4 linked regions of the Tamandua tetradactyla genome follow. The protein of the gene in region 3 purifies or fractionates together with the protein of the main gene of each other region. This does not show direct contact. Links are inferred from orthologs where the notes say so. Each region holds a gene or a part of one and is shown on either strand. Other genes may lie near its edges. The genes, in order: MED18, MED23, CDK19 and MED8.

Evidence for each region.
Region 1: the proteins of CDK19 (region 3) and MED18 purify together in Homo sapiens (affinity purification with mass spectrometry; 5 studies listed by BioGRID and IntAct, counting the BioPlex papers as one, with this or other methods). This does not show direct contact. The link is inferred for Tamandua tetradactyla from reciprocal best matches to the Homo sapiens genes CDK19 and MED18.
Region 2: the proteins of CDK19 (region 3) and MED23 purify together in Homo sapiens (affinity purification with mass spectrometry; 5 studies listed by BioGRID and IntAct, counting the BioPlex papers as one, with this or other methods). This does not show direct contact. The link is inferred for Tamandua tetradactyla from reciprocal best matches to the Homo sapiens genes CDK19 and MED23.
Region 4: the proteins of CDK19 (region 3) and MED8 purify together in Homo sapiens (affinity purification with mass spectrometry; 6 studies listed by BioGRID and IntAct, counting the BioPlex papers as one, with this or other methods). This does not show direct contact. The link is inferred for Tamandua tetradactyla from reciprocal best matches to the Homo sapiens genes CDK19 and MED8.

What each region holds. Positions count from the first base shown.
Region 1 is NC_135328.1:197,874,012-197,880,987, reverse strand, and holds the start of MED18 (mediator of RNA polymerase II transcription subunit 18), read left to right. Parts: upstream 1-3,951; 5' UTR 3,952-4,071; exon of another isoform or gene 4,072-4,197; intron 4,198-4,786; 5' UTR 4,787-4,858; coding exon 4,859-4,931; intron 4,932-6,976. UniProt on the Homo sapiens protein: Component of the Mediator complex, a coactivator involved in the regulated transcription of nearly all RNA polymerase II-dependent genes.
Region 2 is NC_135351.1:31,606,270-31,613,107, forward strand, and holds the start of MED23 (mediator of RNA polymerase II transcription subunit 23), read right to left. Parts: upstream 3,012-6,838; 5' UTR 2,875-3,011; coding exon 2,827-2,874; intron 2,472-2,826; coding exon 2,440-2,471; intron 2,270-2,439; coding exon 2,182-2,269; intron 1-2,181. UniProt on the Homo sapiens protein: Required for transcriptional activation subsequent to the assembly of the pre-initiation complex. Component of the Mediator complex, a coactivator involved in the regulated transcription of nearly all RNA polymerase II-dependent genes.
Region 3 is NC_135331.1:169,436,212-169,443,437, forward strand, and holds the start of CDK19 (cyclin-dependent kinase 19), read right to left. Parts: upstream 3,017-7,226; 5' UTR 2,819-3,016; coding exon 2,691-2,818; intron 1-2,690.
Region 4 is NC_135328.1:180,671,410-180,678,381, forward strand, and holds the start of MED8 (mediator of RNA polymerase II transcription subunit 8), read left to right. Parts: upstream 1-3,960; 5' UTR 3,961-3,987; coding exon 3,988-4,068; intron 4,069-5,306; coding exon 5,307-5,425; intron 5,426-6,123; coding exon 6,124-6,268; coding exon of another isoform or gene 6,269-6,285; intron 6,286-6,972. Other genes in the region: KICSTOR complex protein SZT2, read right to left, coding at 3,840-3,866. UniProt on the Homo sapiens protein: Component of the Mediator complex, a coactivator involved in the regulated transcription of nearly all RNA polymerase II-dependent genes.

The sequences.
Region 1 (6,976 bases), on a different chromosome or scaffold from region 3:
TGGTTGTGTGGACTCAGGCAAGTCATTTTACTTCTGTGAATCTCTTTTTCCTTCACTATAAAGTGGAGAAGGTGTATCTAGCTTTTAGTAGTATTTACAAGATTTATAACTATATAGCATAAAATGACTAGCATGTAGCAGCTGCTCAATAATTGTGATCAACATAATTTTTGAGAACATGTATAAAGAAATATGGGATTCCTCCCCTTGAGATGTTTACTTTAAATATATAAAGTATATAAATAATACTTTATAAACATTATGCCCTTTTACTTTTACAAACTTCATCTTATAAACTACTATTATTATTTCCAATTTACTCAAAAGGAAATTGAGGCTCAGAGAAGGGAAGTAAGTTGCCTAAAGTTGCACAGCAGGATAGTGGTAGTGGCAGGTTTGAGCCCAATTCTAATCAACGAGTCTTATATCTTATCAAAGAAACCCATCCCTATAACTCAAAGGCCTCATCTATATTTTACCATATTGTTCACCCATTTTTTTGTTTGCTTGTTTGTTTTTTGTTTTACATGGGCAGGTACTGGGAATCAAAACCAGGTCCTCTGGCATGGCAGATGAGCATTCTTGCCTGCTGAGCCACCGTGGCCTGCCCATGTTCACCCAGTTCTTATTCATCCCTCTAAAAAAAATTATTTAACCAAATGTCATCTACTGTGAAATGCCAACTAAACTTTGGGATAAATACTATGGTGCCTCAAAGAACCTATAATTCACTGGTCTTTCTGTTCTGAAGTTAGTGTCTGAATAGGAAAGGAGAGGCCCGGTATTTTTACATCCTCCTCCAGTCATTTTGTCATTGAGAATTTATCACTCAGACCAATCTTGTGAATCACTAGTGTGGTCAGGGGTGCATCTTAAATCCTGAGTTATATGCAGCCTTAATAACTGTAAGAGGCTTATGCAAGGGCCAGTCCTTGGCCATCTTCTCCTCTTCTACACACTCTTCCTGGTTGATCTCATTCATTCTCATGCCATCATCTATGATCTATAAGGCAAGAATTATGAACACTCTACCTCTAGCCCAGCTCTTTCTCCCCTAAATTTTGGCAGGACATTGTTACTTGAGTGCCCCATAAACACTCATACTCAATGTGTATACATGTGAACTCATCTTTCTGACCCACTCACGTTTCTCCGTGTTTCCTAGCTCAGAGAAAAGAATTGCCATGGCCACCCAAGGTAGAAACTAGACATTTGTGACTCCTTCCTCTCTCTCTCTGCCTTTATCTCTTAGTCATCAAATCATTACACCTTTTATATTTTTTAAATCTGTCTTCTCTCTTGGAGTACTCTTTTAGCTAGAGTTGATCCATAGCTCTTAACTGGTCTCCTTTCCAAAGATTTTCTCCATATTGCAACCCCTGTGATCTTTTTAAAATTCACATCTGTTTTTCAGCCTGCCATACAAAGTCCTCCAGGATTTGGGCCTTATCTGCTTCTCCAGACTCTTTCTTACCCCTTCCATAGATTCTATCTATGTACCAATTCTACTTAACTTGATATCCCTTTGTACATAATATTCCCATTGCCTGGAACTTCCTTTCTGCCATTCACTGTCTGGCCAACTCTTATTTAATTTTCTGAGGCAGCTGGAAAGGGAAGGGGTGGGCGGAGGGACCCGTTCCTCTTGGCCTGCACATATCTAGCCCTCACTCAGGTCAGCACCTGAAAAGAACCAAAGAAAAGTGCAGCTCATCAATTCCTTATTAACATTAATAGAAGGGGAAGGGCCCCTCTAAGTCTTATAATGTAGTAGTCCCAATCTCAGAGTGCTCTCCTCCTTTGGAGAACACCTATGCTCACCCCCTTTGAGGGTGCACTTTCGCTAGTCATTAAACATTTTGGCTATTGTTTTAATTTGTTTAAGCTGCTGGAATACAATTTATCAGAAATGTATTGGCTTTTTCAAAGGGGATTTATTAAGTTACAAGTTTGAAGTTCTAAGGTATCCAGAGAAAGATACTTTGACTCCAAAGAAAGGTCAATGTCTGTCACATGGGAAGGCAGGTGGCTAATATCTGCTGGTTGTTCTCAGTTTCATTGCTTCCAGCTTCTGATTCCAGTTGCTTCCTCTCTAAGCGTCTGTGGGATCATACTTCGTTCTGGGACAAAACTCTGGGTCTCACCTCTTAGCTTAGCATCTCCTGGGGCCAGAGATTTCTTCTCTTCAGGTTTTGGCTATTTCTGTGAGTTCTTATTTAACACCTGGGCTATTTCTGTCCTGATCTCCAAAGGTCTGTGTCTAAGTTGCTTCTGAAGCAATTGTCCTTTTCCAAAATGTCTCCCTTTTTAAGGACTCCAGTAACTAATCAAGACCCACCTGAAGTGGGTGGAGTCACATCTCCATCTAATCAAAAGGTCACACCCAAAATTGGGTGTGTCACATCTCCATGGAAACAATCTATTCAAAATTTCCACCCTAAACAATATGTCTGCCCCCACAAGGTTGGATTAGGAAAAGAGCATGACATTTTTGGAGTACATAACAGTTTCAAACTACCACAGTTAAACACTGACCAGTCCTCAAATTATTTCCTGTGGCTCAGTGAAGAACCTGCATCATGTCAGGTCCTGGATGAGGTCTCTGAGAAATCCTGGGGCTCTCCAGCATCCAGCTGAGAACTCCCCAGGCTGTCTGGCATTTAGTTTATTAAGCTTTTGGCTGCACATACTGATTAGCTCTTAAATTCTTTCTTGTGACTGAGTTAACAGCCCTCACGGAGCCAGCCGCTGGTTGAGGTCTCAACCTCTCAGAACTCCCAGAACTCTGCAACATCACCTCAAGTTCATCCAGTACTAATTACCTCTTTCAGGGTACCCCCTTTGATCCTCCCAGGATGGGTCAAGTACCCTGCTTGCTTCCAAAGCAGCTGGGCTACTTTATATTTACCCATTTTATCAAGTTACATGGTGCTGTCTCCTTAGTTTAATTCTCCAATAGCGACAACTTGACTATAAACTCTTCTGAGGGTAGAAATGGAGTCAAATCAACAAGTAGCAGAATATTTAGAACACAGAAGACTCCCAATTTAAAAAAAGAAGAAGAAAAAAAAAGAATGGTAGATAGTGTAGGGGAACCATATCTAGAGTGACAATATACTGTAGTAAAAGTGTGAACTCTGAAGTCAGCTACTTAGATTTGTATTCAAGTCTCACTCCTTCCCTGAAAGTTAATAAACATCTCATTGCCTAAATTTTCCCACCTGTAAAATGACAGGATGCTGTGAGGATTAAAATTTAAATTTTGATATTTTGTTAACTATGGATTTTTTGCTTTAACTTTGTAAAATATCATTTTTATCGCTTAGTCATTTGTTTTTGTTTTTGTCTTTACACTTCTTTCAAATTTGTGCCCCAGGAGAGTGCCTCACAGGTCTCACCCTGGTCCCGGCCCTGCCCTCATCTTATGTGCTTGATATAAAAGCAGCTTTCCATAAGTATTTGTTGAATTTACTTATCTCCCTTTATTTTTATATTGAGTATAACATACATTTACAAAGAAAAGTGAACAAACATTAAGTGTATTACTGACTTCCCTAATTGAGAAGAACATTATAAAAGTTTTCAGTAATGAATAACAGTGGCGTCTTCATTTTTCTCCCTTGGGTAACCCCCCAAAAATGGCTTTTTTTTTTTTAATGTCTTTCTTTTATAACATTCTCCCCTTCTCCTCTCATTACTTTGCAGTTCCCTTCCCCAGGTTCTCTTTTCCTCTCTGAGAAGCATTGCTCTGAGTCCAAAGTTTAGGCATGATTTCTTTTTTCAGTCCTATCAGCCCCAGGAGATTTCCTACATAAAAACCTCTCCAGGTCGTCGAACTTGGAAAAAAAATGACGTCACGACCGCGGATCATTCCCATAGGAACGCCGCCATCTTCCATACAACAGCATCAGATCTTGCGCATGCTCGTCTGCTTGCACAGCGGAAGACGGTGTTTCGTGCCCTCTCGGCACCCGTACATTGAGGGATTTGGTAGACGTCTGCCGTCCTACCGGAAGCGGGAAGAAGAGTGGTTACTGTGGTTGTGCTTGGCCGTGCGCTTTCCCTGCTTAGGTAACGTGGGACTGGAAGTTGCTTGGAGCTGTGCTTAAAGGCTCCGAGGTGCGTGGGTGGCTGTAATTCCTGACTTTGCGAGAAGAGGCCAGAGCGCCCGCTAAGTTGTATTTCTAGTGTAAGTGGGTAAGTGGGCACGTGTTCTGGAAGCCAATTTAGGAGTAAACCTCATCTTAAAAGGACTTCGCTTCCCCCCCCCCCCCCCCCACTCACTTTAAAAGGCGCTTTCAGTGTCTAGGAGGCAGAACCCCTGGGTTTCAGTCTGGCCTGAGCTTTGTCACTGACTTGCTCTGTATCCTCGGGCCTCTCTCCTGGTTTCAGTATTTTCGTGTGTAAAAGGAAGGGTAGACAACGTTTCTTAAAATTTAGTTCTTTTGAATTTTATTGTACGTGCATTATGTCATTTGAGCTACACAGACTTGGGGGTCAGGTATCGTTTGCCTCATTACTGTTAGGAAGACACTGAGTCCAGCATGAGAGGTTGCTCAAGATTACACAGCTAGGTTTTGGAGGATTTAGAACTTGGGACGAGAACATTATGCTGGAGCAGGTCAGTCCTGTATATTTCTGTATCATCAATTTTTGGAAAAAAGACCTGTCTAACATAGCAATTACCAAAAAAAAATTGATGAATCTTTTGATATTAAGGCCAGTTACGCAAGCAGACCCATCATCTCTCCATCACTGATGTATAAACAACTCTAACTCTTCTCAGGTGTATCCTGTGCCTTACCTGATTGGGGGCTGAGTCTGATTCTTTTGTCTTTGACTTAATCAGTCAGACATAATGGAGGCTCCTCCAGTCACCATGATGCCTGTCACTGGGGGCACCATTAACATGATGGAGTACCTGCTGCAAGGTAAGTGAACCAGAGAACTTGGATGATTTGTCTCCCTTTATCTTATTCAGTTTCCCTGGAGATGGGAGACTGTTAATACAAAAGCAGCCTGCAGTTTCTGGCACTCCGTAGCCACCTTTTTTTTGTCCCTGCATTTTATTATGAAAAAATTAAAACATACAGAAAACTTCAAGGAATTCTGCAGTGAACCCCTGTATATTTGCTACCCTCATTCTAGTTTTCACTTACTATACTTCCCTTATTATGTATCTGTCCATCTCTCCATCCATCAGTCCATATTATTTTTTATGCATTTCAGTGTAAGTTGAAGACCTCAGTATATTTTCTCCTAAGTACTTGAGCATGCATAAAATTAGAGTTCAAAATTTGTTATTTTCTCTGAAGTAAAATTTATATACAATGAAGTACATAAGTCTTAAGTGGACATTCCATGAATTTTAACAAATGCATTCACCTGTGTAATCCAGACCCTTTTCAGGATATGAACAGAGAAGGTAATGATTTTCAGAAGGTCATATAATGTTTAGTGGAGAGTTTAGACTTTAAATCAGATAATTCATTCAGTAACTTAATAGGCTGGGAATAGGGTTATTTTTACTTCCCAACTTGCTCCTCCTTCCTTCTTCTACATCTCAGTAAGTGGCCCTCTTATTTACCTGTTGCTTAAGCTAAGCAATTAGGAGTAAATCTGTTTTTCATTTTACTCCTTCATCCAGTCTAAGTCTTTTTTACTTTATTTACAAAATGTATTTTAAATATGACTTTTCTCCACCTGCAATACCACTGCCCTAGTTTGTCATCTCTTGTCTGACCTACTTTACTAACCTTCTGCTTCTAATGTTCCTTCCTCTTTTGCTCCTCTCTTGTCCCTTGTCATACAACAGCCGGTGATCTTTAAAAAAAAAATTATAAAAAATATGAAGATAAAAAAATAGACTAGTATACTGAATATTCCATATTCATCATCTAGCTATGCTAACATTTTGCCATATTTGCCTCATTTGTTTTCCTTTGCTGATATTTTTAAAGAAAATTTCGACATCATAACATTTCATCCTTTAACACTTCTATATGTATCTCTTAAAAAAAAGCATATTTTCCTCCATGATCGCAATACCATCATTAGCATTTAACAAAATGAATAATTTTTAATGTCATGTAATACCTAGTCCATATTCAAAATTACTCTGAATACTTTTTTCCCAGGCTTTCAAATGACGTTCTCATTTTCATCATTTGGGTCTCAGGTCAATTGTCTCTTGCCTTAGAAAAGCCTTCTCTGACCATTCCACCCCCTCAGAAAGTTCTTTCCTTCATCCCCACCAGTTGCTCTCTACTCCGTCTCTCTTTTATTTCTTTGTATTTCTGTTAATTTGTTTACTTAGTGTTTTAGTGTTTTCACTACTAAGCCCTAATCTCTGCAGGGCAGGGCCTCCTACTGCCTAGCACAGTGTCTGGCACAGCCTTCAGTAGGTATATGTTAAATGAACCAGCACTTGTTAAGCATTTAAAATGTTTGAGGAATGTAAGAGGATAGATAGGAGCGAAGGTGATTCTCTAATGGGTCTAGAAGTAGTGTTAGCATATTGAAGATGATCAAGATTCAAAGGGGTGGTATAGACCTACGTGTCCCACTGATTCACACTAGAAATATGAATGAGCTCTCATAAGAATTACTTCAAAGATGTGATTCTTGTATAAAGAGTGTTTAAGTCCAGGTTACAAGGGGAAAACTGCTGTTGCATGCGATGAGCTATGTTCAAAAGGAAGCCATCAGCACTGCCACAGCAACAGCAGAGGTAAATAATGGGGTGAGGGACAAGAGTTAAGAGGAGATTTAGATTTCCTATTTGGCAAGGGTGTGTTTATTGGTTTTCTGTCTCTTGGAAACAATGAAATTATCTAAAATTGAGAATGTTGATGGATTGTGAACTTTGGGCCTTCTACATGATGCCTGATGAATGCAGGTGGCAGAAGATGCACTGATAGAGAAGTAGATTGGCAACCAATGGTGTATACTTATGAACGAAGGTTGTGCTGCTACA
Region 2 (6,838 bases), on a different chromosome or scaffold from region 3:
CTACTGAAGGGTCACAATACAATTTTAGGCTTTTCCTTCTAGCTACTCCAAGACACTGGTAACTAAAAGAAATTCAATATAATGATTCACCAGTCATACTCACTCATTAAATCCTATCGTCTCTGCTATAAACCATACCAAACTCTGAAATCTGTTATACAACTAATTGTTGTGGTGTGCTTTGAAATTTATTGCTTTTTTGGTATATGTTATTTTTCACAAACAAAACAAAACAAAAAGATTTACTACAGGAGGAGGGAAACAACAGGTATCTCACACCTTTTGAGGTAGTCAATATTCTGGCTGTAAATTGACCCTCCAGATACCCTGAAGAAGTAAGAGAAGTAGTGCCTTTAACGGCAGATATAAATGTTGCTGTCTCGCTGGGGGGAAAATCCATTATGGATTAGTACATCAGCCTCATGAGAAGTTAGTATAAATTTAACCCCTAGAAGCCCAATCGATTATAAATCCAATTAGATATCCAATTTCTAGTCTAGCAAAGCTTTAAATGTGACACTAAAACCCTGTGCCCCTATCAGAATTTGTCTTCTGAGATACACCCAAGAAGATCCTATACATCCTCTGTATTACCACTGTCCCTCATACATACTTGTATTATTGATGTGACACAGATTCAGAAATATCCATTTACTTCTTGGCACCTCCATTAGTACTTCTTGAAGATGGGACCATACCTTAAGTCCTAAAACGTTTACTAAATTTAGAACTAAAACATGCTGAAAAGATGTCGAACTTCACTCCAGAAACATGAAATAAAAGCATACTGAGATAAAATTTCTGACTTATTAGATTGGCAAAGAGCATGAAGTTTATTAACACTCAATTGTGAAGCTACAAGGAAGAGACACTCTCTTACATAGCAGGTGGGAGTGTAAACTAGTACAACCCTTATGGAAGGCTATTATGCAATTTTATAAAAATTACAAACAGACAGGCCTTTGACCCAGCATTTATTCTATGTCCTGTGCAAACTATAATTCGTTACAGCATTGTTTAAAGTGGAAAATTTAAGAGGCAATGAAAATGTCAGTTCATAGACAAAGAGTTGAATAATGAAGACATGGACATACATATTAGGCTGCTAGAAGAAAGGGAAGACTGGAGGGAAGGTGGGAGGAAGGAAGGAATAACTCTTACTGGACTGATGTGGAATTACCTTCAGTTTTTATTATCATGGGGAAGAAAACAAGGAGCTAACCAAGCATACACAGTACATGACCATTCTGTAAGTACAATTCTATATGCATAAAATATTTCTAAAAAAACAAACTGGAGACACTGGCTGCAGAGAGAAAAAAAGAGCAGGTGATTAAGCTAAAAGAGTGACTTTTCATTGGATCCTCCCTTTTGTATTTTCTGAACCACATAAATGTATTACCTATTACAGAACAATTTTTAAAAATTTTAAATCTGAATGCCTTATGACTATGTGACCCCTGCCTGTGAAGTCTAACCACCAGTGGCTCAACCGCAAACAGTTCTCATTTTCCTATCTTAATGTACTATGAGAAGATTATATACTACAAACTATAAGGATCACACATTTTGTCTTCTTCAGGGACACAGGTCTTTTTTTTTCCCAGTAACTATCCTTTGTTACTATGTTTTACTGCACTTTTTACATTTTTAATACATTTTTTGTATCCTTTAAATTGGATATCTTTGTATCTTTATTGCATTACCTTTGCATCTTTACTATGGTATCTTTATCTCCTTAACAAATTTCTCTATTAGTGTTGTGATAGTTCCTTCATCTGTTGAGTAAAGTTGGTGACATTTTTATCCTTTTACAACGCCCAACACAGTTGTCTTCAAGTGCATCAAATAAATCAGAAGAATTAGTGAAATGATCTTAATCTAACAGGGGGACATTCAACAAATATCAAATAAAGAATCTCATTATAGGTTAGCGAAAATATCTCAACACTGTGCGGTCGGTCATCAACTTGACTTCTCAAGATAGGTTCTTCATTGAAAATAGGTAGATTAAAACAAATGTAAGCCAGAATAGAGAAAGAAAGAAAAGACAATGACAATTTTATTTCTCCCTTTCCAGAAAAATGGAATGACGTTCCTAACAGCAACATCAGAGTAAAACTCAAGGAAAGAAGAGGTCCCAAATCATCAAATGAATGTATTAAAAAATGCAATGCTCACCTGAGAAAGACCACCCCAAAACTGTCTGAAGGCCCCCAAACAGCTGATAAGTTTTGTTTTTTCATCTTCAGGCGTATCCATAAACATACTAAAAAAAAAAAAAATTAATAATGAGATTATTTGCCACTAGCTTTAAAAAAAAGTGAATTCAACTTAACCAGGATAGTCTATATTATAATCCTCCAAGACGAACCTAAGTCGTCTTACAAAAGCACCCTCATGTTTTTTACACAGAAACCTGCCATGCACTATACTCACCCAGGGAAAGCCTCTTCTATAACTTCTGTTTTCTGTGGGGGTTAAAAAAAAAAGGCAAACACGTGAACGATGTGAATTAAAAAAAAAGGAGTGGGAACTGGGGGGAGCTCCCCTAACGATTTATTACAATGTAGCATGACAATCACCCCGATCAGCGACGCAGAATGTAACAATACTAGCCAGGCCTACCACAAAGGATGTGTGGATTTCAAAAGAGACCCCGAATGACAGCACTTGACAATCACAACCTCCTGCACACATACATACTCCGTGTGAAAACAAGGGGAGGAGAGCGAAGCGGCTGCCCAGGCCGGGCTCGTGGGTCCGCGGCCCCGCTGCTTTCCCCACCCCGACGCGTCGCCCTGGGTTCCGGGCCGCTCCACTCACCACCACCTCCTCAAAAATGCTCTGCAACTGCGTCTCCATCTGTACCATTGCCCACGCCTTGTGGGGCGAGCGGCTCCCGGAACAGACGGCCGAGGGGCTGAGACGCCCGAGGAAACCTCAGCTCGCCCCGGGTTTCCTCCGCAGGTGCCCCTCCCCGCGCGTCTCCTCCCGGCCCCGTAAACAACCCGGACCTGCACGGAAGCTGAGAACAACCCGGTGCGCTCCGATGGAGGAACTCCCAGAAACTACGAGCCGGCCAGCCAGTTCCGCCTGTGGTGAAGGGCGGCCCGCGAGCCGCACAACAGCGCCCCCCAGAGGAACCTCGAGTACAAGTCACTCGGAGGCGTCGACGGCTGCGGGGCGCGCCCTGCAGGTCAGAGTGGGAATTACTTCCTGCTCCGGGTTAACGCTTCTGCAAAAGGTAGAAAAAGGGGCGCGGGGGGGGGGGGCATCCTGGAGCTCCGCGAACAGCGGGTGTTGAAACCACACTTTTTCTGACGACAAGGACCATGTTGCTTAACTATGGTGGCCCAGGTGCCCGGACTCAGAGCTGGCTGTAGGCTTTCGATAAAGATTGAAAAAAAAATGAATAGCTATCATTTTTAGTTATAATCATCTAAAAATAATTGCCCTTTATTCAATACCTGCAGCCTCTTTATGGGGATAGGAGTGGAGAAAGGTCAAAGGTAGGTTGATCCTCTGGAGGTCAGAGCAGAAGGTAAGTGGGACCGCTTCATTCCTTCAAATAGTTTAATTTTTATACCTTCATGAAGCTAGCCTTGCTCCCCTAGAGGTAAGTGATTTATCCTCATCTAACATCTTGTATGCACCCGTAGCAGAGCATTCCACTTACGCAACACTTATCCTCCCTCTGCTCAGTGCACTGGTAGGTATTTTAATAAATTGTATTGAAATAATTGATTTTGCAGTACATTCAACCCAGGAAAATAACAGAGCCTGGGTTATTAAAACCCAAGTTCTCTAATAATCTATTGTTATTTTCTTTATGGAAAACAGATTATCTGTATTTCAGATTATCTTTAATCATACTTTAGTTCTAGACAGTTTTCACCTATTATGTGGTGAAAACTCTACCTGCTAACTAAATCAGTGTATTCTTGGCAAAATGTCAACTAATCTTAATATTGACCAAGGCTTCTGTAATTACAAAGGTAAAATGGTCAGAAAACAATTCCTTTTTTGCCATAACCAAATGCAAATTAATGTTGCATTACGCTTGCTAATGCTGCATTCATTGAATAAAAATTGACTATCCATTTCCAGACCTACTTAATGTGTTTTTCCCTAATACTTTTAAGATTTATGTATAATTTACATATAATAAATGCGTGAATTTTAAATTGTACAGAACCATGAATTTTGACAAATGTTCGCACTTTGTGTAACTATCACTCAATCAAAATATAGAAAATTTCTATCACCTCAGAAAGTTCCTGGTGCTCCTTTGCAGGTAACTCCCCTTCCCAGAAGTAAACAGTTTTCATTTCTATAACCATTGATTCGTTTTGCTTGTTCTTGAAATTTATATCATTGGAATCCTACAGCATGTAATCTTTTGTGTCTGCCTCCTATCACACAACATTATATTTTGAGATCCATCCATATTTGTCATTGCTGAATTGTCTTCCATTATATTTATATGTAGCTATTTATTGATTCACCTTTGATAGATATTTAGGTTATTTTCAGTTTTTGATGATTATGAATAAAGTTGTTGCAAACATTCTCATACTAGTCTTTCTGTAGACATATATTTTCCCCACTGTTGGGTAAATACCTAGGAGCAGAATTTCTGATTCATGTTTATGTCAAAGCATATGATTAACTTTATAAGAAATTGCCAAACGGTTGTCCAAAGTGGTTGAACTGATTTGTCTCCCACTACTATTGGAGGAAAGTTCCAGTTGTTCTGCGTCCTTATGGACATTTGGTGTTGTCAGTTTTTTTTTTTATTTCAGTTGTTCTAAGTGGTGGGTAGCAGTATCTCCTTGGGGGTTAATTTGCATTTTCTGATTGACTAATGATGTTGATACCTTTTCATATCTTATTGGCCATTCTTTTGTGAAGGGTCTGTTCAAGTTATTTGTCCGTTATTAATTGTGTGGTTTCTCTTATTGTTATTTATTTGTAGGCGTTCTTATATAATCTGTATACAATCCTTTATCAGATATATGTATAGTGAACATTTTCTCCCAGCCCTGGCCTGCCTTTTCTTTTTTTCACTTTTTACATTGTATAATTTATATACAAAGCAAAGAAAGAAAAAAGGAATAGTTTTCAAGTAGTTGCAGGACAGATCCCAGAGTTGGTCATGGGCTATCATACCATCATCTCAGATTTTTTCCTTCTAGCTGCTCCAGAACATTAGAGACTAGAAGGAGTAAATATATTTTTATCATCACAATTGACTTTTTCTTTTTTGTGAAAAATGACATATATACAGAAAAGCAAAAAGTTTCAAAGCACAGCACAACAATTAGTTGTAGAACAGATTTCAAAGTTTGGTATGGGCTACAATGCCACGATTTTAGGTTTTTACTTCTAGCTGCTCCAAGATACTGGAGACTAAAATACCAATATAATGAGTCAGCAGTTATACTCATTTGTTAAATTCTACCTTTCCTGGATAACTCAGCCATCATCTTTGAACTTTCTCCCACTCTTTAGGGGTACTTGGGCTATGCTCATTCTAACTTTTTAATGTTGGAAGGGGCTGTCAATAATATGGAGTAGGGAGATGGAACTAGCTGATGTTCTGGAGAGGCTGGGCCCTCTAGGTTTCAGGACTTATCTGGTCCAGGGACCTATCTGGAAGTTGTAGGTTTCTGGACAGTTTTCCAATTGCATGAAACTTTTGTAGAATCTTACATATTGCTCTAGGTGTTCTTTGAGATTGTCTGGAATGATTTTAGTTGGGATTTGGCAAGTTATGGTAGGTAGCAATGTCTAACTGAAGTTTGCCTAAGAGTGACCTCCAGAGTAGCCTCTTGAATCTCTTTGAACTTTCTCAGCCACTGATCCCTTATTTGTTCCACTTCTTTTCCCCATTTTGGTCAGGATGACATTTTTGGTCCTACAGTGCCAGGCTAGACTCATCCCTGGGAGTTATCTCCCATACCACCAGGGAGACTTTCACCCCTAGTTGTCATGTCCCACGTGGCGGGGAGGACAATGATTTCACTTATAGAACTGGGCCTAGAGAGAACGAGGCCACACATCTGAGCAAGAAAAGAGGTCCTCCAGAAGTTGCCTTTTCATTTTTAGATGATATCTTTTGATTAGGAAAAATTTTAATTTGATGAAGTCCAATTGAAAACTCTTTAAATTTTATGGTTAGCATTTCAGTGGCCTAAGAAATCTTAGTCTACTTTGAGGTCATGAAGATATCCTCCAGTTTTGTCTTTTTTTTTCCTCAGAGGATTTATGTTTTAGCTTTAATGTTGAGGGCCATGATCCATCCTGAATTAATTTTTGTAAATAGTGTACAGTAGGGGTTGAGACTCATTTTTTTCCATACGCTTATACATTTGTTCTAGTACTGTTTGTTAAAACAATTTTCCTTTCTTCAGTGAATTTCCTTGTATTAATATAGGTCTAATAGGTTTCTGGACTCTCTCCTAATGTCAATATCACACTGTCTCAAGTACTATAATTTAGTAAGTCATGAAAAAGGATAAGGTATTTTCTTCAACTTTTTTTTGAAGCTCATTTTGACTATTATAGATGTCTTTTGCATTTCTGGAATCAGCTTATCAATTTATCCGAAGTTGGGAGGAAACATACTGGTATTTTGATTGGAATTGGATGGACTCTGTAGCACAGTTTGTGGGCAGTTTATAACTAAACAATACTGAACCTTTCAATCCATGAACATGATAGATCTCTCCTTTTATTTAGGGCTTCTTTAAATTTTATTGGCTCTATTTTGTGGTTTTCAGTACACTAGTCTTGTATATCTTTTCTTAAATTTATTCCTAAATATTTTACACGG
Region 3 (7,226 bases):
CTATTTTAAGATTTTGTAAACTATAGTATCAAATTTTAAGCAGAGGCTCTTCTAATGATATTTTCTATTAAGTTACTTCTTCCAATGATTCGTCTACAGACCTGAACAATTTTTTAACTATATATTATATACAACAGAATAATTTCTCTTTAACAACACCATGTGATTTCTCTTGTTTCCTAAAATAGCATTATACATTTTTCTGAGTCAACCAAAATAAAATCTGGAAACATCATGATCAGGGTGTAAAATCCTTTACTCAGGAATTCTGCATCAGTTCAGAGCCATCACTAAAAACTTTCTGTTCTTTCAAATAGCTGAAATCATAAAACTAATAAAATAAAAAAATAACGTCCTATGAGCCCACAAGAGATGTGTTTACTGTAATGCCTCAACTCTCAACCACATTCTAGATCCAGGAAAAAAATGTATGGTTTCTCTAAAATGCAATATAGTGATTTAAGCTAATGCTTCTAAATCCTAGTTAGAAAAAAAATAAAAGCATATTGTTTTGAAGATACATAAACTAATCTGCTGTGATGAAACCTTGTTAATCTCTTAAAGCAACTTTATTATTTCTAATCAAATAAATTTCACTCAAGAAGGAAGTGTATTTGAATCAAGGACTTTATTAAAGGAAAAATATTCAAAAAGGACAAACAGAGGCGGGAATTAAATTATCTGGGTTTTTTGTTGTAAGTCTGTGCTATACAGATACAACTCTGAATTAAAATTTTAAAAATTTTAATTTTTCTGAAAAGTTTGATAAAAAGAAGCTAACAAAAAATTAAAATACATTATAAAATTCTAGACAATATATACTACAAAGCATGTGTGAAAAGAACCACCTTTTGATTTATTTTGTAACATCAATGTCCAAATAAGAAAACTTGATGTGCTTTCCCCAAATATATATGACTCCTACAAAAATAACAGTGTAACGAGTGGATATTCAAAAAACAAAACTAAATTAAAAAAAAATAAAATGAATATCATATTCCATGATATTCATTCAAGACTACCTGGTGATTAAAAGAATTGAGAAAAGTTTACAAATAACTGAGTAGTATAGGGCCTCTGACATGAGAAAAAAGATATCTGCAAAAATAATAGTCCATTACATTTGTATAGTGCTTTGTATTTTCCAACATACTTTCACAGAAACCACTTTCTCAAGTGTCAAGTCTCATAATTCCTGACACCAATAATCAATCTAGACGGGGTAAGGAGTGCAAACGCCTCCCAACACTTTATGATAACACCCTTTATAAAGTTATGTTCAATAGCACGATCGTGTGCACACACGCAGGAACATACGTACATACATACACACACACACACACACACACACACTCTTCCTACTTTGGTCCTAGCATTCATAAATCAACCATATCAAATTGCTACAGAATGCACAGAACGATAAACAACACTACAAATCTACTAATGTCAAAGCGGCTTGTAATCAGTTTATTCAGAAATGTTTTTATTCAGAAATTCTTTAAAACTCTCCTTCCTACAGTATGACCGAATGTAGAGAATAAGGGGGCCAGACAGATCTTTCTTGGCTCCCTAACCTGGGGGAGGGGAATTCCTGCAAGGATTGGACATAGGATAACAACTGGTTTAAACCTACATTTCGCAGCCAAGGACTTGGTTCCACCTGTCCTGCAGTAAGAGCTCGTCTGCCCTCAGGATGTACGTATGTCAACTGATAACTCAGCTCATCTCCTAAGGGAACATTCCTAGGGGGTTCTACAGTTCTCCCTAAACTTCCAAGAAAACAAAGGTTTAGGCCCAACTCTGTCGCCCCGTGTTTCTTTCTCGTTACTCTAGGTGCCCGGTAAGCTCCAGCTCGCAGTCACCTGGCAGAGGATAGAGTGGAGGACAGAAGAGCACCCAAAGTGGGGGAGAATGGAGGGGGGGGGAGCGGGGGTACCAGAGAACCTGGACCAACTCTGAAATTCTGGCGCACAAAATCGGGTTAGTCTCTAGGGAGGTCCCACATTCGAGGGAACGTGCGGAACTCTGAATGCTTGAGAATGCGAAATCTGAGGCGGGCGAGGAGGGGTCAAGAAGTCACCGGGTACACGACTGGGTCAGAAAGGGCTGTGCTGAAGGCTCAACTCGGGCAGGCTGGCCCCCGGGGCGGAGGTCGTGTCTGGAGGTGGCGATGCCGACGGGTCAGACCCCGGAGGCTGGCGGGGACCCCGGCGCTCGGCCGCCCGGCCGGCTCCGCTACGAGGTTTCAAACCGCCGCCCCCGGGAGGGGCTCAGCCGATTGGAAGTTCAACAACGACCGTCACCAACCCAGGGCCGGAGCGGCAACTCCTTGGCGGAGCTCTCCCCGCCCTCCGCGTCTCCCCAGGAGACCAGACCCCACAAACTCCACCTCCGACCGAGGTTCTAACTCGAGTCCGCCGCGGCTCCAGGCACGCGCGGAGAGCGCCCTCCGGTACCGCACCGACGGCCCCCGACAGGAGTGCGCCGCCGGAGCTCGAGGGGCGCGACGGGGCCTCGCGGGAAGGCGCGCAGAGGAAGCCTCCCTCAGAGTCCGCTCCGGGACGCGGCCCGGCGACCACCTCCGCCGCGCCCCGCGGCACAGCCCGACAGGGCTCCCACCCACCTATCCCGCCGGGTCGCGGGCAGGGCGAGGACCCGAGCGAGCCTACTCCCCCCGCCCCTGCTCTTACCCATCTTTCCGCCTCGCCTTGTAGACGTGCCCGTAGGTGCCGCGTCCCACTTTGCACCCTTCGTACTCAAACAAATCCTCCACCCGCTCCCGCTCCGCCGCCAGCTTCGCCTTGAAATCATAATCCATTGTCTGTTTCCCCCATAGAGGCACCGGGACGCGGGGGCCGCCGCCGCTCAGTCCCTCCTCCTCTCCTCCTCCTCCCCCCGCGACCGCCGCTCCACTTCTCCAACAGCCGCCTCTCGGGCGCGCGCGCGCGCGCCGCCCGCCACTCCACGGTCCGCCTTCAGCAAGGGGTTCCTCGGCGGCCGCGGCAGCCACCTCCTCCACCCCCTCCTCCTCCTCCTCCTCCTCCTCCGCGGCGGCGGCGGCTCCCGCAGGCAGCCCCAGTCCCGCCTCCCCCCTTCATTTCCTTGTTTTGGAACCTGGTGGGCCGCGCCACGGCTTTCTCGAGCTCATTAACAAACCAGCCCGCCCCCCGAGGCCGCGAAGACTCCTGGGAAATGCAGTCCCGAAGGCCTCAGGAGCGACGGAGGCTTGTCCCGCGAAAGAAATACAATTCCCATGCTGTCTTGGGCTTTCACAGCCTCGCCCCCAACAAGGCACGCACGCCTGCGCACTGGGACCGCCCCACCCCCTCAGGTAGCCGTGCACTCCCAGTTCCTGTGAAGGTGGAGAGCTGAAAGTTGCGGTGTATTATTTCACCGCGGTCCTATGGGTACTGACCTCAAGATAGCCCTTGTTCTGGTGGAAGTGTCATACTCCACTATGACTGTCCCCGGGCGAGTAGAAGAGTGGAAAGTATTTAACAAGTGCCTTGCTCAGAACTTTGCTCCGATGGTTTGGGAGACGAGTAGTGTGGTTGGAACAGTTGTACAGCAGATTGTTTTTGCTACGGCATTTGGTCCGCCTGTTGCCCCGCCACCGTCCGGCCGCTCATTGGCGGAGACTAGAGAATAACGTCCTTGTTGGTGCCTGGGTATCCCCAGTCTTTGGCTTCTTTCCCGCTCGTGATTGGAAATTCGTTGTGCTGAGTTCTTCCTGATAGGCTAATCTTTTTTTCTTTACAATGCAAAAACCGTATTTCAAATGCGGAATTCACAGCGGTTTCCTAGTTGTTGCCTTGGTTTGAGGAGAAGATATAACTTCTAAGCCCCAGTAGCCAATCACCCTATTCTAGGCGCTGTAGTCGGTCCCCTCCTCGCATCACCCACCTTCCCCAACATCTGCGATTCCCGTAGTGCCTGAAGGATGCAGCGTTTTAAATAACAATCGTTTTGGTTGTATAGAAAAGGGGGTTTTATGGTGTATGCAAAGTGATGAGGGTGTCCTAGAAAGTTCAAGGATGTCTCTTTAATCGGTGTGAACTATGATTTATTTCATTACTACGTCCATGAAATCGTGTATGTTTGGCATACAGATGAACATAAACGTGATAGGTGCTAGGATAGGATTCAGGTACCGCATTCAGTGGGAACCCAAAGGAAGGAATAGTCAATGCTAACTCAAGTGGTAAAGAAAGCGAAGAGTGAGTCCTGCCTACTAAGTTTTAAAAGAAGCCTGGAAAACTAGAGGGAGGAAACAGGATCGTTTATTTACAACAGCTCCTCCCTAGGAAACTTCTTCAGCTCTTGATGATATTTGCAATCAAGTAGTATCTGAGTTTCTCTTATTGCCTGGCACTGTAATCAGTGCTGGAGATACCAGATGAAAACTGTTCTTTTCCTGACTGGGAACTAAAATCTTTTGAAGTAACATAAAAGCATTAAAAAGCTGTTTCAGGGGGTATGGGGATTAATGCTTAATGGATGTAGGGTTTTTGTTTGAGAAAATGGAAAAGTTCGAGTAATGAAAAGTGGTGCGTGGATCACAATATTGTGAATGTGATTAAGTTCATTAAATGGTGTGGGTGGGAGTGGTTGCGATGGAAAAGTTTATGTTTTATATATATATAATATATTTATATATATACCCACAATTAAAAGAGAAGAAAGTGCAACTAAAGAGACTGACAAATGCAGTACATGATCCAGGATGGGACCTAGCAAGGAAGGAGAAAAGGCCCTAAGGGACATTAATGGGACATATAAAAAATGTAGAATATAGACTAAGATTTATATCAATGTTAAATTTCTTGAACTTGGTTTTTGCACTTAAGCTAGTTACATAATGAATACCTTTGTTCTTGGGAAATGTACATAGTCATATTAAATGTTGGGGGAACATGAGAATACAACCTACACTGAAGTGTACAGAGAATGAATAGGTAGGTGTGTAGGTAGGTTGATAGTTAGAGAGATAGATAAATTTAATAATATAGTAAATGTTGCAAAATTTTACATCTTGGTATGAGTTGTAGAAGTATATTGGGTTTCTCTGTATGGGGTGCATATTATTTTTGTAACTGCTCTGTAAGTTGGAAAGTATTTCAAAATTTAAAAATAATAATAAATAAACCGTGGGTACAAACAGTAATAGGAGTTCTTAAATCTAGGTGCGTCGGGGTAGGTGTCACAAAGGAGGTAGTTTTGAGCTAAAATTTAAAGTTTGGGTAGGGCTTTGCCTGGCAGACAAATGAGGGAGTAGGAAGCAGGGGAATTATTTCAGAAAGAGCAGCAATACATATATTATGAGACAGCATATCTTCTAAGATAAGCAAAAAGTTGAAATAAAACAGACCAAGGCAGGAAAATGAGGTGGATAGGAAGAGAGATGGGATTCTCTGGGCTTGGAGTTGGTTTGCCTCAACATGGCTAAATGCACCAAGCTGGTTGGAATGGTAGGTACATGCTGGACGCGGATGGCCCCTCCCTCAGGAAAATGGTGAAGAAAGTTGAAATCAGCTAGCACGCTAAGCGCACATGTTTCTTCTGTGGTAAAACCAAAATAAACAGAAGAGCTGTGAGGAGCTTTCAGTGTGGTTCTTGCTTGAAAACAGTCACCGGAGGTGCTTGAGTCACCGTGAGAGGACTGGCGGAGATGAAAGACATTGGAAGCTCAACAATTTGAAACATCTCTAGTCTGTAATAAATGAGTTAATTTATGTTAAAATAAAAAAAAAGAAGTCAAGGAAGAGAAGACTGGACAGATAGATGATTAGAAGTCAAGTTATGACAAGGTAGATTTAGCAAGCAGAGGTGTAAGATTTCATAGGCAATATGGGAGGTATTAAAGACATTTGAGCTAAGGAGTAATGTAAATCAGTCTTTTGTATTCAGAAGATCTTTCTGACAACACTGTTCCAGACAAACTGAAGGAAGGTAAGAAGAAAGTTATTACATTAGTGTTTGGGCCCAGACTGAGTCACACAGAGCACAGGCTGGTGCTGATGCAAGACTGAAAAACATGCCAGGCACAGACATATATGTAGATTTATTGGGATTTAAAAACAGGAGAGGGTCTCAGTGGTGGCTGGTTTGAAGAAATAGCACTCCACAAGGAATAGGGTGTGTGTGTGTGGGTTCATACACACACACACACAAAGAGTAATATATGATTTTAGAACAAAGACATTCCATGTAGTATGAGGCCATTGAGTCTCTAGAATAATCATTGAAGGGGCCTAAGAGCTGATGTTTTACTAAGTTTAGTGTTTAAGACTCAGATACAATCAATACTGTTTTTACATCTGTGGTTACATTCCTCCCCCTCCAGGGAGATTGTTTACTTTCTTGACCTTTGTTCTCTCCTAAAGCAGGTGTATTAGGGCTGTTTAGGAGGGGGGCTGGGCCCTGGGCCACCACAGTTAGTGCTGATTGAATACAAAGTCTGAACCATAAAATATGAAAAAAAAGGCAGATACCAGGATTATGTAGGAATAAAATTCAGTAGACTTGGTAGGTAATTAAATGTGGGGTTAAAAAAACATGGAAGAATCCAAGATAACTTCTAGGATTTTTAATTCAGTAATCAGATTTTACCTTTGGAAAGGAGTAGGAGGAATTTCTGAGAGAAAGATGATGAGTTTGGTTTCGTACATCGTGACTTTGAAGTGCCTGCTTGGCATCAAGATAGAAGTAACAGTTAAGCAGGGGAATAGTTTTACCTGTAAATCAGAGATCAAGCCTAAATGTGTAGGGCTTTGGAAGTCATCAGTGTATGATGGTGGAGCATGGAGATCTTTCAGTTGCTTGCTCTATGTAAACATGGGATTTTTGCATTCATTATATCATTTAAATGTGAAAATATCCCTATAAAATATGTTCAAAATATCCCTATAAGATGTGTTCTACTGTTTTTCCAATTTTATATGTGAACAAACAGACAACTAGTAAACTGCACAGCTAGGACTTACTGAATATATTCTTGGGGTAAATGGAAAGTCATAAATGTGTAGGTAGGAAAAAAAATCAAATACGGATTATAAAAAGCTTAATTACAAACTCAAAAAGTTTGATAACACTCTTTGTTATCAAGAATATGGGGAAATGGATACTTTCCTGTGTTGTCAGTGAAAGTGTACATCACTAAATGTATGTATATATCAATATGTATAAGTCTTTGATTTTAGCAACATCTATCAAAATTAAAAATGTAT
Region 4 (6,972 bases), on a different chromosome or scaffold from region 3:
ACTATATTTTTCAAACATAATCCCTAAGTTCCCTTTATATTTAAGATGTAATTTATCAGAACCAGAAAACTTAAGAACTAATTTTAAAGCACCTAGAATGGCATTTTTCATTCTTGGGCTTATTAAAAATGCACATTCTTAGGCACCATCCCAGACCAGCTGAATTAGTTGATGGGGCTCAGGAATCTGCATTTTAGCAAGTTCCCCAAGTGATTCCTTCATATTAATGTGTGAGAAGCCCTAAATTAGCTGTGTTCTCACTCCATCCACATTCGTGTGCAGTTTCAAATCCCCAATATTTAATACTCCTTGAGTTCAAAATGCATTACTCTTAGAGCAGTCTGACAAAGAAGACAAAGTAGGGTTTTTGGGGTGTGAGATTTGGATTCAAATCTGGTTTTATTATTTGCTATAATAGGTGACTTTGAACAAGTTACTTAATGTTTCCAGGCCTCACTTTCTTCACTGATAAATGTGGGCCAGAACATTTACCTTGTAAGGATGTTGTTGCAATGAAAGGGGAGTCAGAATAATGATAAAAGAAGCCTATTGGGTCACGGTGGCTCAGCAGGTAAGAATGCTTGCCTGCCATGCCTGAGGACCCGGGTTCGATTCCCAGTGCCTGCCCATGTGTTAAAAAAAAAAAAAGACGACTATCATCCTTTGGGGCATTTATTAAGGCCGACATATCATTAATACCAGGATGAATACCACACTGTCAGGAACTGTGTTGTATACCATGTGCACCAGGATGAATGAAACCTTGCCCATCTCATTAGTTTGTTGTTTTTTTGTATTCCCCCCTATATGATTAAGGTCAATTAGTAGTAGTAGTAGTAGTAGTAGTGGTAGTATTTTGTATGCTGTATGGTGGGGGTAACGTTTCATTCTTTTTCCATGTGACTATCCTTTTATTGCAGCACCATTTGTTGATTTTTTTTGGGGGGGGATGCATATATGGGGAATCAAACCCGGGTCTCCTGCATGGCAGAGAAGAATGATCAATTATTTTTTTGAACTTTTTCCAACCTTTGTGCTATCTTCTGTTAATAGACTCCCATTGAAATAAGGTAGTTTTTTTCTTTTGAATTGTTTGAAGCCTCCTTGCCATTATATTTACGCCAAAGTCCTGAATCTCCAGCACAGAGTCAAAGGAATCTTCTCCAATCTCAGCCTCATTTCTCACCAATACACCTCCCACTCCTGTCCCCAGGTTAAGACCATGCACTCTAGTGCTAGAGCACATAGGATCAAATGCTGGTTCTGCTGTCTATTAGCTGCACGACTTGATAAGAGTTATTTAAAATGCTCATGCTTCAATTTCCTCATCAGTGAAATAGGGAAAATAGTACCTATCTCCTGGGTTTGTTAAACTGGGAATTAAAAGATACTTAGTAAGCACTCAATAAGTGTTAGCTATTTTCATTGTCACATTGTATCCATGCTAACAGCTGTTTCCTCTCAGTTCCCTGAAAGCTCCAAGCTTCTTCGCCATTCCCTTTACTGGTAGTGCTCCCTAAACTTTCTCATAGGCAACTTCCACCCATTAACTTTCTCATAGGCAACTTTCACCCATCCTCAGGCTTCAGTTTAAATGTCATTCCTCCAAGAGGTCTTCCCTGAATCCCACCCCCTACTTAACAGAGTAGTTAAGAGGCCCTATTAAACATTCTCATTCACTCTGTATTTTTCCTTTGCAGTGCTTATTATAATTCAGTATGTGTTTACTCCATAAAGATAGGAAATATTTCTGTTTTATGCAGTTGTATCCATCCTGATACCTAGCACAATTCTGAGTCTATAGCAGCACTCATGAAATATTTTAAGTCTTTGATGAATGAATGATTTTCTAAATCTAGGGCATCTCTCTGACTATGCCCAATCATCCTCTCAGGACCATAACAACCTCTAAAAGTCAGTCACATTTTTTATGCCCAGGGGCAGCTCTCTTCATTTCCTTTACCTTCTAAGATAAAATTTTCAGAAACTCAAATCAAGAATTCAACAAATGCCTAACTTTTGGCTGAATGGAAACTCCCAGGAATGTGTGTCTTAACACCAAGTTACTTTAGACCTGCACTGTTCAATACAGCAGCCACTAGTCATATGGAACTACTGAGCATTAGAAATATGGCTAGTCCAAACTGAGATAGATGTGCTATAAGTTTAAAACACAAACTGGATTTTGAAGACTTGGTACAAAAAAAGAATGTTAAACATCTCTTAATTTTTTATATTGATTATATGTTCACATGGTAATATTCTGGAAATAATGAGTTAAATGAAACACATTATTAAAATTACTTTCACCTGCTTTTTACCTTTTTATGCAGCTACTAGAAAATTTAAAATTATGCCTGTCGTTTGCATATGTCTTTTGGACACTGCTGCTTTATTAGATTGTCTGCCTAAAAAGATATGCTGTATCTCCCCACTATATCCCTCCATTTCCTCTCATTCGAATCCATCCCTAAATGCAGTCCAAATTGTCCCATGGTTTCTCTTATCATTATTATTTTTGAAGCATATGTGGGTTACTTCACCATCCCAGTGAACATGTCAGATTCTTTTGAATAAGGCATAATTTCTATAGTCAGTCTCATCCATCTCCCAGTGAGCCAGAGATCTACCATACAGGGATTACAATTTATTGTTACAAACATTATGGTTAACACAGGATCTAGACTTAAGCCACCTGATTTTGAGTCCTGCTCCTGGCTCACCATTTGCTACGCAACTTTGTTACTTTTATATCTCTGTGCCTCAGTTTCTTCAAATATAAAAATGGGGATTATATTTAATCCAAATATAAAAATGGGGATTTTATGAAAAAGCTACTTCATATACAGTTGAAAGAATTAATTGATTTGTAAAGTGCTTAGAATAGTGCCAGGCATACAGTAAGTATTCAATAAATTAATGACTACATTTATATTATTACACACATCCCAGCCCCTTCCCACCTACTAGTACAATCGCTTGTAAAACTCAGCACTTTTCCTGGTGTGGTTCTTTCCATATCTAAGAATTCATGCTAAGTATTATTCTAACGCCAAAATCTTCTACTACCCAGGTGAATCGTACTGGAGCAAGGTAGTTAACCGTTCTCACTGCTCAGTTTCCTTATCTGTAAATGAGAATAGATATCGTCACGTTCCACGCACAAGTACTGAGTGACAAAATGTATATAAGTTCCTTGTATAATAATCCTTAGCATCTAGTAAATACTTCAAACGCATTTTCTGGTGTAACCCATCTGATCCTCGCAACGCCACATAAGGTAGATACTTTACAAAGAAGGAAACAGGATATGGGAAGATAAGACTGGCCCGAGGTTGCTAAATGGCAAGGCTAATATTGGAACGCAGTCTTATTCGACTCAAATGTTCTTTCACACAAAGCAGAACTACTTTTCCAAAAACCATGAGTGCTAGAATTATATTAATTTATTTGCTTATGGCAGTACAACTTTTAAAGAAATGCAGACACCGGCAAAGTAAGCCTACTATCGTGTTGTCACTGAAAAAAAAACACTAGAAGTTCAAACCACGGGCTTTGTTAATACCACTAATAGAATAAAGAGCCCTAAAAGCATTAGACCGGCGACGCTGATGAAATTTCAGTTAAAAAAAGCACAAAAATTTCGCCTCGAGACCCCGGGAAAGCTGCAGACCGCGGTGAAACGGTTCCGTTGTCAGGCCTTCCGGGGTTGGGCTGGTCCCTGCCAAGGAATACGCTGCCGGGCCACCCCCAGGCCCCGAGGAGACCACGACAGCGCCTGTCCGCCGAACCCTCCCACTCGGATCCAGGGATCCAGCGCTGGGCCCGCCCGCCCCTACCTCCGGCTCCGGGTGCTCCGAGGCCATCACACAACCCTCCCTCGACTGGGAACGCCGGTCCACCCTCGACCCCTGACCCGGCTACTCTACCCGCGACAGGATCCGGAAGTGAGTGGGAGGGCTGAGTCCCAAGTTTCCTGATTGGTGAATGAAGCCCTTCCAGAGAGGCTCGCGGAGTTGGAAACCGGAAGAAGAAGTCGGTGCAGCCGCTACTGCCATCGCCATGCAGGTGAGAACTAGGTTGGTCCTGTTGACAGCCGGCGAACTTCGGTTACTGTAACCGAAAATGGGCTGGCTGAGGAGAGAGTGTGGAGTTCGCTGTGTGAGGCGGGGGCAGGGTCGGTTGCTGATGAGTAAGGGAACGCGGCATGGGGGACCAGGCAGACCACTAAGATAAGTGGGCGGTGCAGATGAGAGATGGGGTGGGGCCCGGCTGATAGGAGAGAGACTGCTGCTAAATTCAGAGGGAGGAGATAGCACTGACTTGTTTGGGTGTAGGAATGAATTAATTTGTAATGAAGAGTCAGAGATGCAGTCCAGAGAAGACTTCTCAAGAAATGGTGTGTTGACGCAGACCCTAGCCTAGGTTGAAATGGAGGCTGTTCTCTGTAAAGAAAACTGGAGAAAAGCCCGAGGGGGAAAGGAATTGTGGGGAAGCCAAGCCATTTATAACCGAGGCCGTGGCATCAATCCAGCATCAAGGCTCTTGTCAGGCATATTAGCGGGTTTGCAGGACGGTTTTGCATTATTTTTCCTAGGCGGTTGATTGTTAAGGGTGAAGAAATGGAGTAAAATAGGATGCCACAGATGGAAAGAAAACGCTTCGCAGACCCCAAGCGTTTAAAATTGCTCATCTAGTGCTTAGAAGCTGGTCATTTGTGGAGTTTCATTAGTCATTTAGTTTCTTGCACCTGGTAGTCTTTTAGTAAATGTTTTTAGGTTGAGTGAGCTTATGAAAGAAGCATAGGGATGCTGGCATATAAATAAACAAAATGAATGTAAATTGATTCAGCAAGAAGGAGTTTGAAAGCAAATAAAGAACTGTGTTGGAGGTGAAGCTTATGGGCAGGGCTGCTGTTCAGAGAATGCATCAAGTGTAGGCAGATTTCCCAGGGATGTGGTCAGTGTTAAGAACAGCTTACAAGGCAGATTGTTGGTTAAAGGAAGTTGATGTACATGTGTACAGAAGGCAATGAGTCCCACGGAGAATAGAGTACCTATTACGTAGGAAAACCAGGCATGGATTAGGAGGTGATGAGAGAAAGGAATCAGATGGTAGGAGGATTTGTGGTAAGGTGAATAGGTTGAAAGTTCTAAGGGTTGATGGCATCTGTAACCAAAATACCAAAGACAGAAAACAACCTGGCTCATCTCTGTTACCTCACCAGGTATTGTCATGTCTTCATCTGTGTATGTTGACATAGTACATCAATCTGGGTAGCCAGCTTTTTTTTTTTATTAATGCAGAGGGAAGAGAAACAACTTGAGGCATCATTAGATGCACTGCTGAGTCAAGCAGCTGATCTGAAGAACTCACTGGGGAGTTTCATTTATAAGTTGGAGAACGAGTATGACCGGCTGACCTGGTAAGAGTTGCCAAGGTAGGCTGGGGAGGGCTGTTTAGTAAGTGTGGAACTGGGCCTTCTGACAGGTAGGTCAACTCTGATGCTGTAATCATTTATCAGTTTGGAAACATCTTTTGATTTGTGAAGAGCTGGGTTTCCCAACATTTAACATTTGGAGTTTGGTTTAGGGCCTCAGTGGCAAGGAAATAAAGAGATGTCCTGTTTCCCAACCCAGGTTCTTGCTAGGTTTTGATTCTTACCCTCTATCTTTTCTGATTAGGAGCTTCTCTCTCAGCCTGTCCACTTTAGCTCTATTCATGCTGGACCCGTTGCCACAAACTGTGGCTGGGTCTTTTAGGTCCAGTCTTCTCTGGAAGTGTGGATCCTGTTCCAGGCTGAAAAAGCAGCTTTTACCAAGTTTCTGAGTTTTTAGCGATAGTAGTGAAGTTGTCGTTTCTATTTTGCCACTGTTCCTCAGCCCATTCATACAATGAACTGTCTTTTACCTACATCTTTGTCAGAAATTGAAACTGTGTCCCTCTTTCCTACATCCCTGTGAGCCAGTCTGGCTACTGCCCAAAATCAGTCATAGGGCCGTGAGTCTCTTTGGGATGAGCCTGGATATTCCTAGTCTGAATAGGGGCTACTTAGAGGCTACTTTACTGGAAACTACCTGAGGGAAGGAGGGGAACTTTCTAATACTTTCTTACTACCCCCAGGCCTTCTGTCCTGGACAGTTTTGCCTTGCTCTCTGGACAGTTGAACACTCTAAACAAGGTCTTAAAGCATGAAAAAACACCACTGTTCCGTAACCAGGTCATCATCCCTCTGTTGTTGTCCCCAGACCGAGATGAAGATCTTATGGTAAGAGGAGGAGAAAGGTACACTTTCGAAATTAAGTTCTTGATTGAGAGCCATGAACATAATTGTTGAATAGTTATAGAAGTTCTGAATATGGAATAAAGAGTGGCAATAAAAAGTGTGGGCTGGAGATGACTCCCAGGGATGAGTTCAACCCTGTACCATGGGATCAACAATTCCATCCTGACCAAAAGGGGGAAAGAAGTGTAACTAATAAAGTATCAGTGGCTGGGAGAGTTCAAATAGAGTTGAGAGGCTACTCTGAAGGTTGCTCTTACACAGGCTTCAGTTAGACATTGCTACCTATCATAACTTGCCAAACCCCAACCAAACCATTCCAGCCAATCTTAAAGAACACTTAGGGCAAAATATAAGATCCTACAAAGATTCCGTGCACTAGGGTAACTTTCCAGAAAACTACAACCTCCGGATGGGTCCCTGGACCAGATAACTCCTGAAACCTAGAAGGCCCAGCCTGGCCAGAACATCAGCTAGTTCCATCACCCTACTCCATATTACTGACAGCCCCTTCTAGCATGAAAGATTTAGCATGACCGTAGCCAATACCCTTAATGTGTAGGATAGAAAGATCAAAGGTGATGGTGGAGTAATACAGAGAAGGTAGGGTTTAACGTACAGAAATGATTGCTGAATCATTAAATTGATATTGTTTTAGTCTCCAGTATCTTATAGCAGCTAGAAGTAAA